Linked DNA regions of Macaca mulatta. The protein of the gene in region 1 interacts with the protein of each later gene in a pairwise test. Links are inferred from orthologs where the notes say so. Each region holds a gene or a part of one and is shown on either strand. Other genes may lie near its edges.

Evidence for each region. The genes of interacting proteins can lie anywhere in the genome.
Region 2: the proteins of PNMA5 (region 1) and PRKAA1 interact in binary tests that used the Homo sapiens proteins (3 or more experiments, as listed by UniProt). The two-hybrid records come from large-scale screens. The link is inferred for Macaca mulatta from reciprocal best matches to the Homo sapiens genes PNMA5 and PRKAA1.

The regions. Positions count from the first base shown.
Region 1 is NC_133426.1:159,261,246-159,271,613, forward strand, and holds PNMA5 (paraneoplastic antigen-like protein 5), read right to left. Parts: upstream 7,001-10,368; 5' UTR 6,870-7,000; exon of another isoform or gene 6,770-6,869; 5' UTR 6,708-6,769; exon of another isoform or gene 6,694-6,707; intron 6,514-6,693; 5' UTR 6,392-6,513; coding exon 5,045-6,391; 3' UTR 3,629-5,044; downstream 1-3,628.
Region 2 is NC_133411.1:41,869,214-41,879,581, forward strand, and holds the start of PRKAA1 (5'-AMP-activated protein kinase catalytic subunit alpha-1), read right to left. Parts: upstream 6,311-10,368; 5' UTR 6,126-6,310; coding exon 5,999-6,125; intron 1-5,998. UniProt on the Homo sapiens protein: Catalytic subunit of AMP-activated protein kinase (AMPK), an energy sensor protein kinase that plays a key role in regulating cellular energy metabolism.

The DNA of each region.
Region 1 (10,368 bases):
CATCTTCTTAGGGGACAGATATGAGGACAGGACCTCTCTCAATCCTCTCTGCTCAAAGGACAGGCCTGAGGACAGGACCCCTCTAAGTCCTCTTTGCTCTGGGATAGACACGTGAATGGGATCTTTCTCAGTCGACTGTGCTCAGAAGACAGGCCACAGCACAGGACCTCTCTCTGCCCACTAAGCCTCACATGCCTGAAGACAGCATCTCTCTCAGTCTTCTCTGCCCGGGGACACCGGAGGATGATACCTCTCCCACTGCTTTCTACTCAGGGTCAGGCCTGAGGACAGGACCACTCTCCGTCTTCTCTGCTAAGGGGACAGACCTTAGGATGGGATCCCTCTCTGACCTCTTACACAGAGGATGGGCCTGTGGACAGGACCTCTCTTATGACTCTCCGCCCAGGGATGGGTCTGAGGACAGGAGTCCTCTCGGTCGTCCTGCTCAGGGGCTGCCTGAGGATGAGACCTCTGTCAGTTCTGTTTGCTCAGGGGACAAACTAGAAGATGGGACCTCTCTCAGTCCTCTCTGCTCAGAAAGAAACCTGAGGATTGTACTCTGTCGGACATTTCTGCTCATGGACAGGGCTGATGATAGGATCTCTCTCAGTTGTTCTGCACAGGGGACACCTGAGTATGGGACCTCTTTCAGTCCTCTTTGCTCATGGAACAGGCCTGAAAATGAGACCTCTGTCATTTCTCTATGATCAGGGACAGAGTTGAGGACAGCACCTTTCACAGTTCCCCCTGCTCAGGTTTCGGAGAGAGGCCTCTCTGCTCAGGAGACCCAACTCAGTCCTCTCTTGTTAAGGAACAGGTCTTATGATGGCACCCATCTCAGTTAATTTTCTCAGAGGTATACCTGTAGACAGGACCGCTCTCACTCCTCTCTGCTCGGGGGACAGACCTGAGGACAAGACCTCTCTCAGACCACTTTGATCAGGGACAGGCCTGGTGACGGGACCTCTCTCAGTCCTCCCTGCTCAGGGGACAGGCCTTAGGATGGGACCCCACTCAGTCTTGTCTATTCTGGGACAGTCCTGAGGACGGGACTTCTCTGAGTCCTTTCTGCTCAGCCTCAACCCCCATGATTGGGCTCTGATCCCGCTCCCTCATCCACTGCTCAAGCCGTCTGTGAGCCCACGAGGTTGCTGCTTATTGGATGGGCTTGGTCAGCCCCTGGGCACCCGGGAAGGCACCTCGATGGACCTTTCTGTCCCCAGGCCACACATGCCCCGTGCCCCCACCCCCCAGGGACACTTGGTGAGGACTGTGCAGTGAAGCACAATGCATGGTAGGAGCTCTGCAAGCCGGCACACACCAAGGGCCTGGCCAGGATGAAAGGGACAGGGGGCCCCGTGGTGGGGCCCGTCCTTCAGGCCCAACAAAGTCTCCTGGCTCCAGGCTGGTGGGGAAGCAACTGGTTCCTCCCGGTACCGCCTTCCAGACTCCCTGGCTAGATCCCTTCCAGGTTTCACAACCCAGCTATCCAGCATGTGTGCTCACACGCTCACTGACACAGTCGCGCACACGTTCAGTGACACGCTCACGTTCCAGACGCACTCACATGCGCGCACACATTGAGTGACAAACACGCATTGAATGACACATACATGCCTGCTCATCGACACACCCACATTTGCAGTCAGCACACTCACGCACAATGACTCACAAACACACACACACACTGACACGCATTGACACACTCACAGTGTCACACACATGCAGCGACATGCATGCTCACCTTCAATGGCACAGCCTCATTCCCCCACACACTCCCACTCACACATGCTTAGTGATGCAGTCACATGCTGTCACTTGGATTCACACACACTTTCTCAGAAACTCATGCACATGCTCACACTGACACACACACGCACATGCGCAAACACACCCGCTCAGACACTCACGGCACACACAGGTCCACTCTGAACAGGGAAAACCAAGGAGCCCTGACAGGCTCTGGCAAGGTCAGCCAAGCTCTTCGCCCTCTCTTCTTGTCCTGTCCCTGAAATCTGGAGGGGCCCTTGGAAAGTGAGCAGTTGACTTGGCCCTGCTGAGACACAAGGGACAGACATGCTGGGGTTGTGCCCAGCCTGAAGAAGGCAGGGACAGCAGAGCACAGTGGGGGCCACAGGCATGCCCGCAGGGCACCCCGATGCGACACACTACAAGGGTCCCTGAGACACTGGTTAGGCACCTTCAGGCCGAGGAGGCTGCAGACCCAGCCCCAGGGACCTGCTGCCCCTGCCCCTCCCCGACAGCCCCGCAAAACTACCCCCCGCCCACGCCTGCACTCGCCTGTGTATGCCTAGTGTCTCCCAGGGCCCCTGCCGCCCTGCAGCCCTGCTGACTGCAGCTCTGCTCAAGCAGACAGGTCGCCTAGATCCAGGGTTCCTCAGCCCAGGCGGGCAGCCACCCATTCCCAGCACTGGCTCCCAGGCTGCTTTGGGGCACCCTGGCTATCATCTGAGCCAAGGGGATGGTCGGAGGCTCTGTGCTCCAGAACAGCTGGAGGAAGCGTGTGGGCACAGACTGAGTGAGCTCTGGGAGACCCTCGCCAGGTCCAAGTCACTGATCCCGTCCCCTCCCCGCACTTGTGCAGGGAGGGGCCTATCAGTTGTCCCAGTCCTGTTGCCCACAGACTCTGGGTTAGTTAAATGGCTGATCGAGGACTACCCTCAATTTGTGGCGAGCTCCCTGGCCTGTTGGGAGAGAGAGCCAGTCCCAGGAGGGCTCAGGAGGGCGGGTTCCAGGATCCTCAGGCCCCCACTGAGGACTGCCCCTCCGGCCAGTGCTCAAGGAGGGGTGTTCGGATTAGCAGCGCTGTCCACCCTGAGGGAGCCCTCCTCAGGCAGCATCCAGGGCTCAGAGGGCCTCGGGGACGCAGGACAGAAAGGGGTCACTCCCCAGGGCCATCTGGACTTGCAGCTCATGGCCCACTGCCTGCTCCCAGGACACAGGAGTAGAGGCCCCCCCAGCACACTGGGAAGAGAGCAGAACAGGACCCAGGATGAAGTGCAGCTCCCCCCGCCCTTCCTCTCCCCCTCCCCGACACATAAGCACTTGGGATCCCTGTCTGACCAACACTCTGTCCCTTGGCCATCACACACACACACTATCCCCAAACATCCCTCAGTGGTTAGGCCAAGGCTGGCCACCTGCGGCCTGATCTGGGAGGGTGGGCACACAGCAGCCCCTGCACCACCCCCTGAGTCCTGCACACAGCTCTTCACAGGGCCTCTGACTGCCTGTCCAGGCCCTCCTGGGGTTCTTCTCTGACCTTGGTTTCTGCCCTCGGTTGCACACATGGCCTCTCTGACCCTTCTGGAAGCCTTGAGCCACACCCCTACAGTGCTGCCAGGAATCAGGGGCCTGGAACCCACCTGCTGCCCCTTGCCCAGCCTTCAATATCCAACCCACTTATTCCTGAGGGCACCTGGAGTGCCTTTAGTACCCAACCAGTCACTGCTCATGACCACCAGCATCCTGTCGCCAGGCTCCATGCAGCCCAAGGCACACCACAGGTCCTCATGGACACACACCCCAATGTCAGCCTGGCCACTGTGGCCTCGTCCCCAGCAGACCACCGCCCACCCCAGTTTCATACAGAAGAGGCAAGACACTGCTGGAACACTGAACAAAATTTATTGAAGAGAAACATGAACTGAAACCGCTGAAGAGAAGGGAATTGTAACACAGACAGACACTGCAAACAACCACTGCAAGTCACAAGTCCCAGGCCCCTCCCTCACCGTGGCTCCCCCTACCACATCCCTCCTTCCACAGGGCCCCAGGATCCACCTCTTGCCAGGATTGTGGGCTCTGGCAATGTGTACTCACTTCAGGTAACCCCCTCCTGAGCCCACCCGCTGGGGCAGGGCCCTGTCTTATAGACTGCACAGGACAGTCACAGGATGCTGGAAAACATAGCAGGGAACACCCCACCAAGTTGAGGAAACTGAGTCACGAGTAACAACAGGGGTGGAACGCCAAAGCACAAAGCTTCCTGGGGAGCCTCAGGCAGCCCTGCTCCGTCCTGTGTCTGGTTCGTCCTCCTGCAGTCAAGGTCACGGTCACAAGGTGAGCGTCTGCCATGCCTCCTTCCCACTGTCTCCTGGAACTGCGCTGGGGTACTCTGGAAAGGAGCTGCTCAGATACAAACACAAACATCCCCAAGAGAACAAGCAGCTGCTGGCCGAGATCTACACCGGCAAAGCAGAGGTGGAGTTCTTGACACGGAACAGCAGTGAGCAGAGCCTGGGCCTGGTGATGACGCAAACCAAAAACAACTACCCACCCCCAACAAGTCCTCTCTTCTCACACTTCTTCCTCCTCCTTCCCCTCTTCCTCCTTCTCCTCCCCCTCTTCCTCCTCCTTTTCTTCCTGCCCCTCCTTATTCTCCTATTCCTCCTCCTGATCATCCTCTTCTTAATTCTCCTCCTCTTTCTCTTCCTCACTGGTGCAGGGGGTCATGAATGCTGCCTTCCTGGGGCTCCCCTCATGCAGTGTAAATGATCCTAAAGACGGGCTGGACCCTGCAGCCTCCCCTGCCGGGCTTCACTTCTCCCCCACAGCTCTTCCTCAGCAGCCCTGGCTCCTTCTGGCAGAGGCAGGCCCCAGGCAGGCTCCTCCAGGTCCCACATGGCCTGGGTGCCAGTGGGCATTCTCAGCTCAAAGTTCACAGGGTGGATATTTGGGGGTGTCCAGATGACCAGGCCAGAGCCCCCAGCCACACCGTCTTCAGCCCCTGCTTTGTTGGGGTCCCCATCTGAAGCCCAGCCACCCCCTGTGCTAAGTGTAGCTGTTCCCTGCTTGTGTCTCCTATACCTGTTAGGGGCCATGGGCCTGGCCCCCACTGAACCAGATGCTATTTGGTCTAGGTTGGTGAAGTCCCTTCCAGCTGGTGGAAAGTAAAGGGGCTTGATCTTGACCTGGCTTCCCTGTCCCTCTGCCCCAATCAAGTTCCCTGTTAGTGTAAGCTGCCCTTTGTTCAAATGTCCCTGCTGCCTGCCAGGGGAAGGAGTGCTTGGGTCTTCTGAGCCTATGTTTCCCAGGGCTTGGGATGGCTCATGGCCCCAGCCCCTGCCTCGTTTCCCGACTCCTCTCCTGCAGCCTGTGGCCCCTCCCTGCCTGGAGTCTGGTTTTCAGCCTTGGGATACATGGCCTGGCCATAGTCTTCTTCCCTAGTGCTTTCACTGCACGACAGCCGCCTGCGTTTCACTAATGGGGGTAAGCCTCCCTGTACAGTCTGGGTGCTGCTGTCGCTCAAAGACCTTGCCTGCACGGTGGCCTGAGGTGCAGAGGCACTGGCTTCTGCTCTTGCCTGTCTACCAGAGGCCCCCCGGCCTCTCCCTGATGGCTTCTCCTTATTCTTCATCACTGCCTCAGTGTTCTCCCACTCTTCTTCATCTCGAATAAGCTTCATTAACTCCAGAAAATTGGGAGGACACCCTCGCTGATCCAAGAGCTCCAGCTTGCCTCTGAGGGCGGGGGTCATGGAGACCCGAGCTAAGAGATGTTTCAGACGAATCATGTCTGCGCTGCGCACTGACAAGGGGCTCTTCTGCACTGCTTTCTGCAGCAGGGGCTCTAAGCGCAGCAGGAAAGTGGAGACTTTCTCTCCAATCTTCGGAAAGGTCTGCAGAAACTTAAACTGAGAGGCTCTGAAGTCCTCTTTATCCCCAAAGATCTGCTTTAAGGCGTCAAGGCACTGCTCCACAGTTATGGAGTCATTGTTGGCCTGGAGCACCCGCATGATTGACAGAGCAGGCCCTCGTAAGCTCTCCAGCAGACGCCGTCTCTTCTCCATCTCAGACACTTGCCATATGGGCATTATCTCAGTGACCTGCTCCAGCCAGTCTTCAAAGGTCTCTTCACCTGGGCTAGCGGAAGCAGTTCCCGAAAACACTTTCAGTTTCCGGTACCACATACTTTCTTTCAGAGGCTCTAAAGGTGGGGGTCTAACTTGGGGTACGACCTCTGCATCCAGGCTCTCGGCAGGGAGGCTGCAACATCCCAGGGCTCTGGCCACATCTGTCATACTTCGGCCCTCATCTTTCAGGAAGTAGTTCAGTCTAATGAGAAACTCGTCATCTGGGTTACGGGGTTTTACCACCACTTCCCAGGAGCCCCCCTTTCCTGGTATGTGACTAGGCAGAGTAGTGTAATCGACAGTGTCAGCCAATTCAATGAAGACTGCCTTGGCGTTGTCTTCCCTCCTGAACATTCTCCCTAGCACCCTGTATGCGCGCAGGGGCTGTAAGCCTGCCTGCACAGTGTCCTGAATTTCCACCTCACTACACTCCACGGGGATGCCTATGATCAGCAGGGCCTTTCTGGGGTCCATGTCCATCCCCTTGCACCAATCCTCTAGCAGTGTCAATGCCATTGCTCCCACTTTCTATGGACTGATCTAATACTAGGGCAGCAATCAGCTTAGTTTGACAGCACTCAAATAACTCTGAGCCACTGCCACGTAGGAAGGTAGAAGTGGTCCCAGGTTTCCACAGCCTGCAAAGCAAATGGGATGAGAGCATTGTTAATGCCTACCCCAACCTATACCCCCAAGCACCCCTCCTCTGCCCCCACCCCCGAGCAGGGATGGAGTCCCTTCTTCCCAGGGTTCCCCAAGTTATTTTGGGGAGGGTAGAGGGTGGAGGTTCTCCCCAGGCAAAGATCTCCTCATCTCACCACTCCCTGCTGACCTCCTCCTGCTGTGGGTTCCTCCTCGAAGTCCAGAGGACTCTGCTGTGTGTGCTTCGGGTATCTGTAGTGAAAAGGCCAAAGTCAGGAGGCAGGGCCTGACATCTGGGGACACTGACAAGCTCTCCAGGCAGAAGAGGGCAGGAGACGGCCTCACTGCTCACTCAGGGCTATGTGGGCTCAGGTCACCCAGCACCCTCCTTGCTGGAGTGAAGGCTGGCAGCAGGAGAGGTAGAATGGCCCTCTTTCTCAGGAACGCCTGACAGATGAGAAAGATGGCCGAGCTCTGCGCAATGCAATGAGAGTGGTGGGTGTGGAGATTGTGTGACAAGCTGCAGTGTTGCCATGGATACAGAGAATACCATGGACCATGGGTTGCTATTGCAGGGGAGTGTCATGTGGTAAGGCTAAGGTCCTTGAGAAGCAACAGGTGATGTCATTGGCCTCCAACCAATAAAGCTTCCCAGCAAAAAGGAGGGTGGGAGAGGGAAGGCGAGGTGGGCTTGAGGAGTGAGTGCTGAAAGGACAGGAGCTCATGGTTTCAATTGTGTGGAAGCTGAAATCAGGTAGAAAAGGGACCCTGATGAGGTCCCCACTGCCAGACTGCAGGAAACCAACAACTCTTGCCCTAGAGATGGCCCTACCCTGCAGAGTCTGTGAACGCTGGCAGGCAGTCCCCTCTCCACACTCTTTGCAGGGGTTCCAGAGACCCTCCCAACAGGGCCCACCTCACAGCTGCTCACCTTTCTGGGTTGGCCCTGCTGGCAGCGCAGATGCTGCAATAACACAGTCACTTCAGAGTCGCTCTGCTCTTCAACTCTATCCAATTAGGCAGTTCCTGACTCAGGCGTGATGGTTCCTGCTTCCCTGGATCTGTCCAAGGCAAAGCACAGGTATTTTGCTGTGATTCTGTCCCACACACATGTCCCTGCTCAGGCCATGCCAATTCAGATTCTGCATAGGTGTCCACTAGGACCCTGGTGCAGGGGTAGAAGAAACTGCACAACTGGCAGAGGGAAGAGGAGGGGGGAAAGGGGGGAGGGGTGGGGGGGAAGGAGGAGTGGGGGGAAGAATGGCGAGAGGGGTGGGAGGTGAGGAGGGAGGTGGGGGGCGGGGGGGCTGCTGCTAGGGCAGAAGGGATCCTAAGGTAAGGTTGCGGCCCCACCCCCACTGCAAACTTCATTCCCTCCCAAGCCCCACCCCTGCAGCCATGTTGCACCCCTTCCTAAGCCCCACCTCAAAACTTGCACGCCTGCTGCCAAACTCTGCCTACAACTAAGTTGCACCTCTACCCCAAGCCTAGCCCCCCACCAAGTCCAACTCCTTCCACCACCCAAGTCTAACTCCCGCCTCAAGCCCTGCCCTCACCCACAGTCCAACTCCTACCCCAAGCCCTGCCCCCTCACCAAGTCCAACTCCTACCTCCATGCAAGTCTAACTGATGTCCCCAAACCCCCACCTCCATTTCCCTGTTCCCCCAATCCCCACCCTGTTATTTACATACACCCACACCACCGACACCAGTGGAAGCAGGCAGAATCTAGGAGGGGAAGGTTCGAAGCCACTTTCCCTCAAGGGCAAGGGCCAAGAGCTACTGTCCTGACTGCAGTGTCTCCGGGCAGGGTCGAGGGTGGAATACGTCTCCCTGAAGTTTTTTTTTCTTTTTTTTGAAACGGAGTCTCACTCTGTCACCCAGGCTGGAGTGCAGTAGGGTATGATCTCAGCTCACTGCAACCTCCGCCTCCTGGGTTCAAGCGATTCTCCGACCTCAGCCTCCTGAGTAGCCGGGATTACAGGCGTATGCCACCATGCCCGGCTACTTTTTGTATTTTTAGTAGAGACCGGGTTTCCCCATGTTGGCCAGGCTGGTCTCCAACTCCGGACCTCAGGTGATTCACCCGCCTTGGCCTCCCAAAGTGCTGGGATTACAGGTGTGAGCCACCGCGCCTGGCCAGGTCTCCCTGAAGTTCTGCCTGGAAATGGCAGGGATTCCTCGGGGTGCTGTGTGTGATCTAGTGGGATCCCGCCTCCATGGAAACCTATGGCCACCAGCCCCTAGACCCCGTTGAAAATAGCAAGGATTATTGGGGGGATCCCCCGCAATCTGAGTTGCTGTCTAAGCCCGGGGTCCAGCTCCGTACCTGCCGGAGGTGCCTCCAAGCCGGTGTTCCCGCGCAGCGCGACCACCACACGTCTATGGCGGCTGCCGCCTCCGTGCCGACTGCGCCACGAGGCTGTGGCGGGAAGAGGTTGTCTGGAGACGACACCACTCCCCCAGCGGAATTGCACACGGCCCGCTCACGGTTGCGCACTGGTGACATAAACTCTCCTACTTCCCACAAGGTGGTTCCTCACCCCGCCCCCCCGTGCCAGCCTGAGCCAGCCTGCACCTTTGAGGACAGAGAATGCAAGCCCAGCTGGGAGCCACTTACATTGCAGAATAGCTCCCAGTCCTGTTGTTTATTGGCTGGACGATGGTGGCAGCCAGGCTCGCCACGTGCCATTTGGCCCAGCAGCCATTGTGGCTGTTCCCCATTGGAGGGGAGCTGTGGCGTCCCAAGCCTGTGGTGAAGGGCCGGGTGCAAAACACCCCGTGCAACGTATAGGCCACGTGAGCGCGCTTGCTACCTGAAAGTCATAGCCCCCGTTTTTTACTGGACTGTGTTCTAGGGGAGGAGGGCAAAAAATACAGCTAATGCCTGCATTTCACAAGGGCATTAGTTTTTTTCACTGCTCACTGAGAGCCAGTGACTGAAAATATTCCATTCTCCCATTATTCTCCTGATTTCACGACCAAATATTACGCACCTAGTACCCAAGCTGCTTCCTGTCGTTTCCCAAAGCAGGTTTCTTCCACAGAGGGAAGATCCTGGGGCCTGCAGTGGCCCGAAAGTGCTGTTCCAGAAAAGGGTGTGGGTGCGGCACAGGTAGCATACTTCAAGATGCACATAAATCCCCTGGTAATCTTAAAAAAATGCAGGTTCTGAGTAAGGAGATCTGAGGCAGGGCTGGTTCCGCTGAAAGCTGGGTTACTTGCTGCATATCCCTGCCCAGGCTATGTGGAGCAAGGGTCTGAAGCCTATGATTACATTTCAGGGCCAGAAGTTATGGACCTTTAATGACAGAATATATTTGTTTTTCTTTCTTTGTGATTAAAAACAAAACAAAACAAAAACAGGCTTTTCTGGTAATGTTTTAATAAATATGTTAAAAGCAGACAACATTTTAAATTGATGGTCACTAAGCAAGATATTTGCAGATGTCACCTTCTTCAGCCAGGTGTGGTGGCTCACACCTGTTATCCCAGCACTTTGGGAGGCCAAGGTGGGCAGATCACTTGAGATCAGTCTGGCCAACATGGTGAAACCCCGTCTCTACTAAAAATCCAAAAATTAGCTGGGTGTGGTGGTGCAGGCCTGTAATCCCAGCTACTCAGGAGGCTGAGGCACGAGAATCGCTTGTACCTGGGAGGCAGAGGTTGCAGTGAACCCAGATTGCACCACTGCACTCCAGCCTGGGCAACAAAGCGAGATCCTGTCTTTTTTTTTTTTTTTTCTTCTGAGAAGGAGTCTTACTCCTTCTCCAGCCCAGGCTGAAAATAGTGCTGGAAGCCATTGCTTAGCTGCCTGGTATCACAACATCACAGAAGGTGATGCCTCGGAA
Region 2 (10,368 bases), on another chromosome or scaffold:
CTAAAATATACAAAGTTCCTCCCTTTTTCTTTCTTAATGTTTGAAAAGTATTTCACTACATGGATAAACCATTACTATTACATTATTAGAAAGGTTACTTCCAAAGTTTTGTATTAATATTTACAACAGGCCGGGCGCGGTGGCTCACGCCTGTAATCCCAGCACTTTGGGAGGCTGAGGCGGGCGGATCACAAGGTCAGGAGATCGAGACCACGGTGAAACCCCGTCTCTACTAAAAATACAAAAAAAATTAGCCGGGCGTGGTGGCGGCGCCTGTAGTCCCAGCTGCTCAGGAGGCTGAGGCAGGAGAATGCCGGGAACCCGGGAGGCGGAGCTTGCAGTGAGCCGAGATCGCGCTACTCACTCCAGCCTGGGAGACAGAGCGAGACTCCGTCTCAAAAAAAAAAAAAAAAAAAAATTTACAACAATATGGCAGTGAATAACCCATTATTTCATACACATGAGTACATCTATAGACTAATTCCTAGAAGTTGAATTGTTAGGTTAATTTTAATAAATGCTGTCACACTCATGTAGAGGTAGGATACCAATTTATACTCCACCAGCATAGTATGAGTGGTTTTTAAAATGTATATAAATAACAGCAGACTATACATATTCTTATATAACTTGCTTTTGAGGTCTAACCTTACACTTTAAGACTCATTCACAATGATATAACTAGCTCTAGTTCATGTTTATATATATATATATATATATATATATTTTTTTTTTTTTTTTTTTTTTTGAGACGGAGTCTCGCTCTGTCGCCCAGGCTGGAGTGCAGTGACGGGATCTCAGCTCACTGCAAGCTCCGCCTCCCGGGTTTACGTGATTCTCCTGCCTCAGCCTCCAGAGTAGCTGGGACTACAGGCGCCCGCCACCTCGCCCAGCTAGTTTTTGTATTTTTTTAGTAGAGATGGGGTTTCACTGTGTTAGCCAGGATGGTCTTTATATTTTTTACTTAAAGGAATTTTTAAATAACTTCGATGATTCATTCACAAAGAGTACAGTTACCTATGTAGTTGAAATTGCAGTTTTACACAGAAATACGAACTTAAGCCAAGCTTGGTGGCTCACGCCTGTAATCCCACTTTGCGAGGCCAAGATGGGTGGATCACCTGAGGTCAGGAGTTCGAGACTAGCCTGGTCAATGTGGTGAAACCCCGTCTCTACTAAAAATACAAAAAAATATTAATCAGGCATAGTGGTGGGTGCCTATAATCCCAACTACTTGGGAGGCTGAGGCTGAAGAATCGCTTGAACCCAGGAGGTGGAGGTTGCAGTGAGCTGAGATTGCACCATTGCACTCCAGCCTGGGAGACAAGAGTGAAACTCCATCTCAAAAAAAAAAGAGAAATACTTACCAACTTAATAGTTTATATGTATAAATAACTCATTGGCCGAAGACATACCCAGCCTACCAAAGAGATCATCTTCTCTAGAAAAACTAACAAAGACTGCCATTTTAATGATATGACTCTGCTCATCCATGCTTTTTTTGGGCAGAGGGAAGGCCCACAAGGGCATGGAACCTAACACCTTGATAACTAGAAGTTAAAAAAAAAGATGCGTTGGAAACAATAAAGACAATTCAAGCATAATCACAAAATAACCCTAGTTTTCTGTAAACTTTCCTCTCTAAATGCTACCACTAAGTAACCAAACAAATTTTTTGGCCTATAAGAGGAAACAATCACTCCGAACTTCCAGCCTACTCTCCCCGCAAGATTAAATTTCCTATAAGCATGGAATATCATGCTGGGACTTTTTCTGCATATCAATATCATATATTTTATTAGATCCCTCTTCATGTTAAATTTACCAATATATATAACTAATTTTTAAAGCTTTCTTTATTCCAAATTGTCTAAATATATGGCTAACCCTATTATTTGCAAGAATTCTTGCATAATTAAGGCTACTGGTGTTAATTACCAAGATCACCAGGATAGTGGCCATTTCTGCCTGTTCACTGAGTATCCATGTCCCCCTTTCTCTCTCCTAACAACACCCATTTATGTGTAGGTATATACCCTGTCCCTCTACACTATCCAAGTACTTAGAAGATATCTCCTGGCCCAGCACGGTGGTTCAGGCCTGTAATCCCATCACTTTGGGAGGCCGAGGTGGGTGAGATCACCTGAGGTCAGGAGTTCCAGACCAGCCTGGCCAACATGGTGAAACCCCATCTCTACTAAAAATACAAAAATTAGCAGGACGTGGTGGCTCACATCTATAATCCCAGCTACTAGGGAGGCTGGGGCAGAAGAATCAGTTGAACCCAGGAGGCAGAGGTTGCAATGAGCTGAGATCACGCCAGTGCACTCCAGCCTGGCTGACAAGAGTGAAACTCTGTCCAAAAAAAAAAAAAAAAAAAAAAGTGTTCCCTGTTCACCACATCCACACTAACATTTACTGCTTTTTGATTTTTTTATTATGGCCATTCTTGCAGGAGTGAGGTGGTATCACACTGTGGTTTTGATTTGCATTTCCCTGATCATTAGTGATGTTGAGCATTTTTTCATGTTTCTTGGCCATTTGTATATCTTCTTTTGAGAATTATCTATTCACATCTTTAGCCCACTTTTTGATGGGACTGTTTGTTTTTTTCTTATTTGTTTGAGTTCATCATAGATTCTGGATATTAGTCCTTTTTCAGATGTATTGATTAGGAAGATTTTCTCCCACTGTGTGGGTTGTCTGTTTACTCTGCTGACTGTTCCTTTTCCTGTGCAAAAGCTCTTCAGTTTAATTAGATCCCAGCTATTTATCTTTGTTTTTATTGCATTTGCTTTTGGGTTCTTGGTCATTAAATCCTTGCCTAAGCCAATGTCTAGAAGGGTTTTTCCAATGTTATCTTCTAGAATTTTTATAGTTTCAGGTCTTAGGTTTAAGTCCTTAATCCATCTTGAGTTGATATTTTATGAGGTTGAGAGGTGAGAATCCAGTTGCATTCTCCTACATGTGGCTGGCCAATTATCCCAGCACCATTTGTTGAAAAGGGTAAACAGGGAACATTTCTACACTGCTAGTGGGAATGTAAACTAGTACAGCTGCTATGGAAAAGTGTGGATATTCCTTAAAGAACTAAAAGTAGAACTACCATTTGATCCAGCAATCCCTTCTGAAAAGAAGTCATTATTCTAAAAAGATACTTGCACATGCATGTTTACAGCAGCACAATTCACAATTGCAAAATCATGGAACAAATCCAAATGCCCATTAATCAATGTATGGATACAGAAACTGTGGTATATATATACACGACGGAATACTACGCAGCCATAAAAAGGAATGAATTAACAGCATTTGCAGTGACCTGGATAAGAGTGGAGACTATTATTCTAAGTGAAGTAACTCAGGAATGGAAAACCAACATAGTATGTTCTCATTACTGATACGTGGGAGCTAAGCTATGAGGACGCAAGGCATAAGAATGATACAATGGACTTTGGGGACTTGGGGGGAAGAGTGGGAAGGGGGTGAGGGACAAAAGACTACAAATATGGTGCAGTATATACTACTCCGGAGATAGGTGCAGCAAAATCTCACAAATCACCACTAAAGAACTTACTCATGTAACCAAATACCATCTGTACCCCAAAAACTTAAAGAAAAATTTAAAAAATAAAACAAATTTTTAAACAAAAGAATATGTCTCCCACCCACCCACCTCCTTTGCACACACACATCAAAGGGTCACATTCCTCCAAGGGCAATGCCATCCCCCTTGCTAACGCCTGCTTAGGAATACAAGCATAAGCCAATTGGTCCATGGCATTCCTAGCCACAGGGACTGGATGAGCCAATGAGACTCATAAGAGGTATGCTGGCCTTCCCTGCTCTGGAGAACCACAGACAAGTTCTTCACTAGGTGAAGCTGGATTTTTCTATTACTTGTGGCAAAAAGCATCCTAACTGTTAACTTAAAAAATGAACAGGTTAAAGATTCTGATCGGCCAGGCGCCGTGGCTCACGCCTGTAATCCCAGCACTTTGGAAGGCTGAGGTGGGTAGATCACCTGAGGTCAGGAGTTCATGGCCAACACAGTGAAACCCCATCTCTACTAAAAATACGAAATTAGCTGGGTGTGGTGGTGGGCGCCTGTAATCCCAGCTACTCGGGAGGCTGGGGCAGGAGAACTGCTTGAACCCAGGAGGCGGAGGTTGCAGTGAGCCAAGATCGCACCACGGCACTCCAGTCTGGGCAACAGAGCAAGACTCCATCTCGGCAAAAATAAAAAAAGAAAAAAGAAAAAAAAATAGACCTGACTTTATTCAAGCATTCAAGTCTATATTAGGGGAATGATGAACACCCTAATCCAAGCAGAACTCTGGGAAGGGGTGGGGGCAAAAATGAACTTTTTTTTTTTTTTTTTACAAACACCTGTAAACTAAAGAGCAGTTTGTAATTGCTAACAAGAAATATCATAGCCAAAGATAAAGTTAAAACTTCCAGGGCACAGAAACATCTTATTGGCCTTATATGGACCTGTCCCAATGGCTGTTATTACCCAATTCTTGCATTTGCTTCTTAATTTGCTTCTTACTTCCTCCTGACATTGTCAGCCTTGCCGATTTTCATAAGAAGGTTCAGGCAGTTGCTTCCCTGTGGGATATACAACAATTTTCCAATTCTATGACTCAGAAAATGGCAAGAGAAGGAAGGGTTCTTCTCTTCTAACCCTAGACAAAATCAGAAAATGTTTATTTAGCTCTGGGAGAGTAAGGCTCAGTTGAGTTACGGTACAGACTTTCACAAACTTTTTTTCTTTCAACTCAAATATTTACCAAGAACTTAGTATATGCAAGTCAGTCTATTATTTATCCAAAGCCAATGCATGAATTATTTTCATCAGTTCCAAACTTCCTTTCTCTGTATCCCTTATAGCAAAGTCAAATATTTTAAAGAAAAAAAAAAAAAAATCACACCTCACAAAACTTGCAATTAAACGTTTTTTTGCCAGGATTGGTGGACTGAAGAGCAAGCTTATTTCCAGAATATTGTTTTGAAAGAGTACACATTTTTCTTTCTTTTAATTTCAATAGCTTTAGGGGCACAAGTGGCTTTAGGTTACACAGATGAACTGCATAGTGGTGAAGTCTGGGCTTTTAGTGTACCCGTCACTCGAATGGTGTACAATGCACCTAATATGCCTTTCTTAAAACAAAAGTTCAAATGTTTATTAGAATAATCGTTTATTAGAATACAAATAGCCTTTGAAAATAAGTGGAAACGAACTGTATTAATAAAGTAATAAATACTATCTGGAGGCAACATCTGAACTAACAACCAAGTTTCGCACGGAGAAACTCCTGTTAATTCGGAAACACTAAAGGAACAGTCTCATTCAGAACGTAAAGCATGCATCGCAAATATTGAACCAGTTTATATTCATTAACTGCTCCGAAGGAAACCAGTGATCCTTTCCGACGAGATGGCCTTTTTTAAAAAATGATGTCGGCTACCCACAAAGAAACCTTACTTCTGCGGAAACACATGTCGCTCTCGGGAAACAGCAGGGGCCGGTAAATCGACGGCCTCCTACAGAGGACGGAAATATGGACAACGCCGAGGACCGCCAAGGAAGCGATGGGCTGGCCCTGAGCCAAGGGAGCACAACCCGGGCGCACAAGAGGCTGTCTCCCCAGGGATCGCGCCCGGCGCCCCCTCTCAGCACCCAGAGCGCGCCACGCCGCCCGCCTGCCCCACCTGGGAAAGTTTGCACCTCCTCATCCCCGCCCCTCGCACCTACCAGCCCCTCCGGCCGCGGCGCCGTCGCCATGGCGACTGGTCCCCACCCCACCCCCACCCGGCTGTGCTGGCCGCGCCGCAGCCCCGCGGCGGCTGGGGAGAGCTCCCGCAGGATCCGGGACAGGGGCTGCCCAGCCCTGGAAAGGAGGGACGCAGCGGACGGGGGAGGATGAAGAGGTGCCGAAAGCGGAAGTCGTGCGGCTCCCCAGCTGGGGTCGAGCCTAGCCCTGGGGGTTCTCACCCTTCACTTTGCCGAAGGTGCCGACCCCCAGCGTGTCACCCAGGATGTAGTGGCCGATCTTCACCCGCCCGTCGTGTTTCTGCTTCTCGGCTGTCGCCATCTTTCTCCAGGAACTGAGTCTGCGCATGGCGCTGCGGGAGGGGGCGGAGGGGGCGGGCAGGGCCGCGCCGGGGGCGGGCGGGGAGGGGGTGGGGACGCGGGAGGGCAGCCGCCGAGCTGAGCCACCGCCCTGCGCCGCCAGCCCAGGCCCCGCAGCCGCCGTCGGGCGCAGACGCTCCCCCTGGCGGGGCGGGCGGGGGCTGCCGGGAGAAGCACCGGTACCCGCCTCCTCGCCCCGCATCCTCGGGCCTGGGCGCCCGCCCACCGGCACGCGGAGGGGCTTACTGGAACGATTAAGGGAACCGTCGCCCCCCCGGCTCCTTCTCCTCTGGCAGAGTTTCTGCCGGCAGTGAGCTTCCCTAATTACCACTCTGGGGTCGGAGAAGACCCTTCTGCGGGTGATTCCAGAGGGGAGATGAGGACTGGGAAGCCCGCTTGAGTGATGCAGATCCGTGGCTTGTTACAAGGGGCGCGTGAATTAAAGCAAGGCAGGGGGCACCGCCCTGCCACTCCTTTCTAATCTTGATTCTGATCTTTCCTTCTTGGATGGAATCTAGAAGCCGCAGGAGTTTTCACTTGCGTCTGTGATGGAGTTTCCCGCTCCCCCCTCCCCGCCCCCGCCACCACCACCGCCGCCGACCCGCGCTCTTTTTTCGCTTGGAGCCCGTAAATTGCTACTGGACACCACGATGGCTCTAGGAGCGCTGTCGGTGTTTTCTTCTGGAGGTGATCCTGAAATTTCTTCCCCAAAGCAAACTCTGTTGCGAGGAGCAGGCTGGGGATATGTACAAGTGAATGTGTATTCCAAGAGGGGGATGATACGCAAATCTTTTGGTGTATAGGAATTAATACTTTCAGATTATCGGTAAAATGTATACGTTCACTGGACTGAGAACAAGGCTTACAGTTACATCAACCGGATCAACAAATATTTATTGTACTTACAATGAGTAATACTTAATGTATTATATAAACATAAATGGAACCATACCATAGCATAAAGTCTGCTTATTTTTAATAAAATGTTTGAGTTTGTTACTCAATTCCACTCCTCTAATTAGTAGTCAAAATCAAGTGTTCTGTTTTAAAACGTTTATATTCTCTCAGTTTTGGAATGTCATAGCACTGGGCCAGTGTCAATGCCCCTCCCCCCCAAAAAAATTGCATCTTCATGAAAAGAAAAGTAAAAAACTAATAGTCATTTTTAATCCCAACAAAAATCAATTACCCAACTCTTCTGATTTTCTCCTCTCTGTTTCTGAAATCAAAGTAACATGCATTAGGCACCGTTTTCTTCCAAGGAAGATATTGCAGGGGAAGCAAAAGTTTCTGCCTTTGAGCTTAGAATTACACCAGATAAGCAGAGAACAGTTCCAGCTAGCCTTCACCAAGTTCCTACTGTATTGAGGACTGCACATTGTTTGAAGAGCAAAAAGTTAAGAAATCTTTGATTACTGATGTATTTGGGGGGCAGGTGGTGTGGTGGTTACTGTTGTAACTTTTGGTGTCTTGCTTTTTCACTTTTATCTGTTCGCCTTGTGAATTTCTACACAAGGCATCTCTGCAAAGCAGAATTTTTGGATTTTGGATCTCTGTAAAGCAGAAATAGCTCTCTGGATTTCCGTGTGCGGCAGGGAACCTTAAACTCCCTCCCCTCCCCAAATAGCATCTTAAATTACTTTAAGTTTTTATTATGTCTAGAATTTAACCCAGGAAAGTTCTGCCATTTCTTCTAACCTGAAAGAAAAAGATCTGACATCTCTCCTCAGGCCCAAGGGTGGGAGAGAGAGTACCCTAGGGAAAAAAAAAAAGGAAAAGATAGCAAAGGACCTCAACTGTGTACCACTCACTGAGCATGTTGCAAGGGAACAAACTGAAGCTGAGTTTTGCAAATCCATTTGCCAATCTCTTCTTTAAACTATGAAAATTCAAGAAAGTAACATAACCTTTTTTTTTAGTAGAAACATCGGTTTGTTTCTGCTTTGTGCCATTGTAGATTATAATTCTATTTAATAAATAGTCATTAACTGGCATTTACACTTAAAAGCGTTTTTGGGGAGATAAAACCTAGAATTATAGATCAAAAAATTGGATAGAAGCTTAGACATCATCTTATCCAGTTTCCCATAGTCTCTGTTTAAAGCAGCTTTAATTGCTCAGTGTTTTTAATTTTGGTTTTGTTTCTTTTCCATTCATGTTGAGTTAAAAACTGAATCCAATTCACTGTTTGTAAGACTACTGTATTAAGAAGCCTCCTGTATTCCTTTGCTTTTTCTCTTAATTACCTTTTTAAATTTTTGTCACATTTTCTTCCACCCTGTCTTCCTTTCATTCTCCCATTGATCTATTCCCAAATGTTCACTTCCTTCATTCTTCAAACTTTTGTTAACTGCCAGACACTATAGAAAATTTCATTTTTCTAAAAAATGAAAAGTCACGGTCCCTACCTCGAAAGAGCTCCTGGTCTACAGTAGCAGTCCTCTATATTCCACCATCCCCGCACCCATCCAGGAGAGATAATATTTACATACTCAACATTCTACCAGGGGGAAGCAAAGATAAGGTAGACTGTGACTTACACCCAGTTTCCTGACCTATCTGTTGTAACTGTACACCATCTCAGTAAAATGTATTGGAATATAAGTGGGCAGACTCCTCGGAGTCATCTTCTCAAGGTTATTACAGCATTACTGGACTCTATACTGCCAGGTGGATATTACACTTCTCCAAGGACTATCTCTAAATATGGTGGCTGGAACTAAAACTTCTGAGTACTACACTGCTATTAATGCAGGCTAATATTTCCTTAGCTTACTTGTAGCTACATTGTAACTAATATTTTATTTGTATTAAACAAACACTATGTACTGGGCAGTTCGCTAGATCCTAGGGACTTAAACAAAGGAACATGGTTCTGCCTTCTAATAGGAGACAAAGCAATGTTATAGGTGCTATAATAAAAACACAAGTCTAGACAATGTAGTGAGATTCTGTCTTTACAAAAAAAATAAAAATAAATTCAAAATTAGCTGGGTCTGGTGGTTCTCACCTATAGTCCTAGATCCTTTGGAGGCTGAGGTGTGAGGATCAGTTGAGCTCAGGAGGTACAGGCTGCAGTGAGCTATGATTATGCCACTGTACTCCAGCCTGGGTGACAGAGCAAAACGCTATCTCTTAAAAAATAAACAAAATAAAACGCATATATGGTGCTAAAGGCCATCATGAGAGATCAGTATAACCTTTATCTGTGGAGGTCTGCCAAAGCTTTAACTTGAATATGTTTATGGTGAAGTATTAAGAGATGATGATTTCTACACACAAAAGGGAGGCCACCCAGGCACAGTGTCTCACACCTGTAATCCCAACACTTTGGGAGGCCGAGGCAGGAGGCTCACTTGAGCTCAGGAGTTTGAGACCAGCCTGGGCAACATTATGAGACCTCATCTCTACAAAAAATCAGCCAGGCGTCGGGGTGCATGCCTGTAGTCCCAGCTACTCAGGAGGCTGAGGTGAGAAAATCATCTGAGCCCAGGAGGTCAAGGCTGCAGTGTGTCGTGTTCATGCCACTGCACTCCAGCCTGAGTGACAAAGTGAGACCCTATCTCAAAAATATAAAAATAAAAAAGTAAAGAAGGCCAGGCGCAGTGGCTCACACCTGTAATCCTAACACTTTGGGTGGCCGAGGCAGGTGGATTGCCTGAGCTCAGGAGTTGGAGCAGCCTGAGCAACATGGTAAAACCCTGTCTTTACTAAAATACAAAAAATTAGCCAGGCATGGCGGTGTGCACCTGTAATCCTGCTACTCGGGAGGCTGAGACAGGAGAATCACTTGAACCTGGGAGGCAAAGGTTGCAGCGAGCTGAGATCGCGCCACTGCACTTCAGCCTAGGGGACAGAGTGAGACTCCATCTTAAAAAAAAAAAATTTTTTTTTCACAAAGGGAAGTAGGCTGTTTAGGGAAGAGCTAATTGTTACAGGGGCTGGAATCTGATGTATAGAGGGACTTGTTAGAAGAAAATGAGAGGTAAACCCACTAAAGTTAAACAGACCAAATCCTGAAATGCCTCATGTGCTTCTCAGTTTGGACATTATCTTGTAGAGTGATAAGCTTTGGAAAGATGTGAAGTAGATGCCGTGTAGAAATAAATTATTTTCTCCAAAATTGGTAGCTGTGGGTACATTTGGGAAGAGAAATGAGGTGACTAAAAGTCAGGGGCAAGGGGCAGACTTTTCTCTGTATACCCTTTGTAAATTTTGATTTAGAGCCTTAT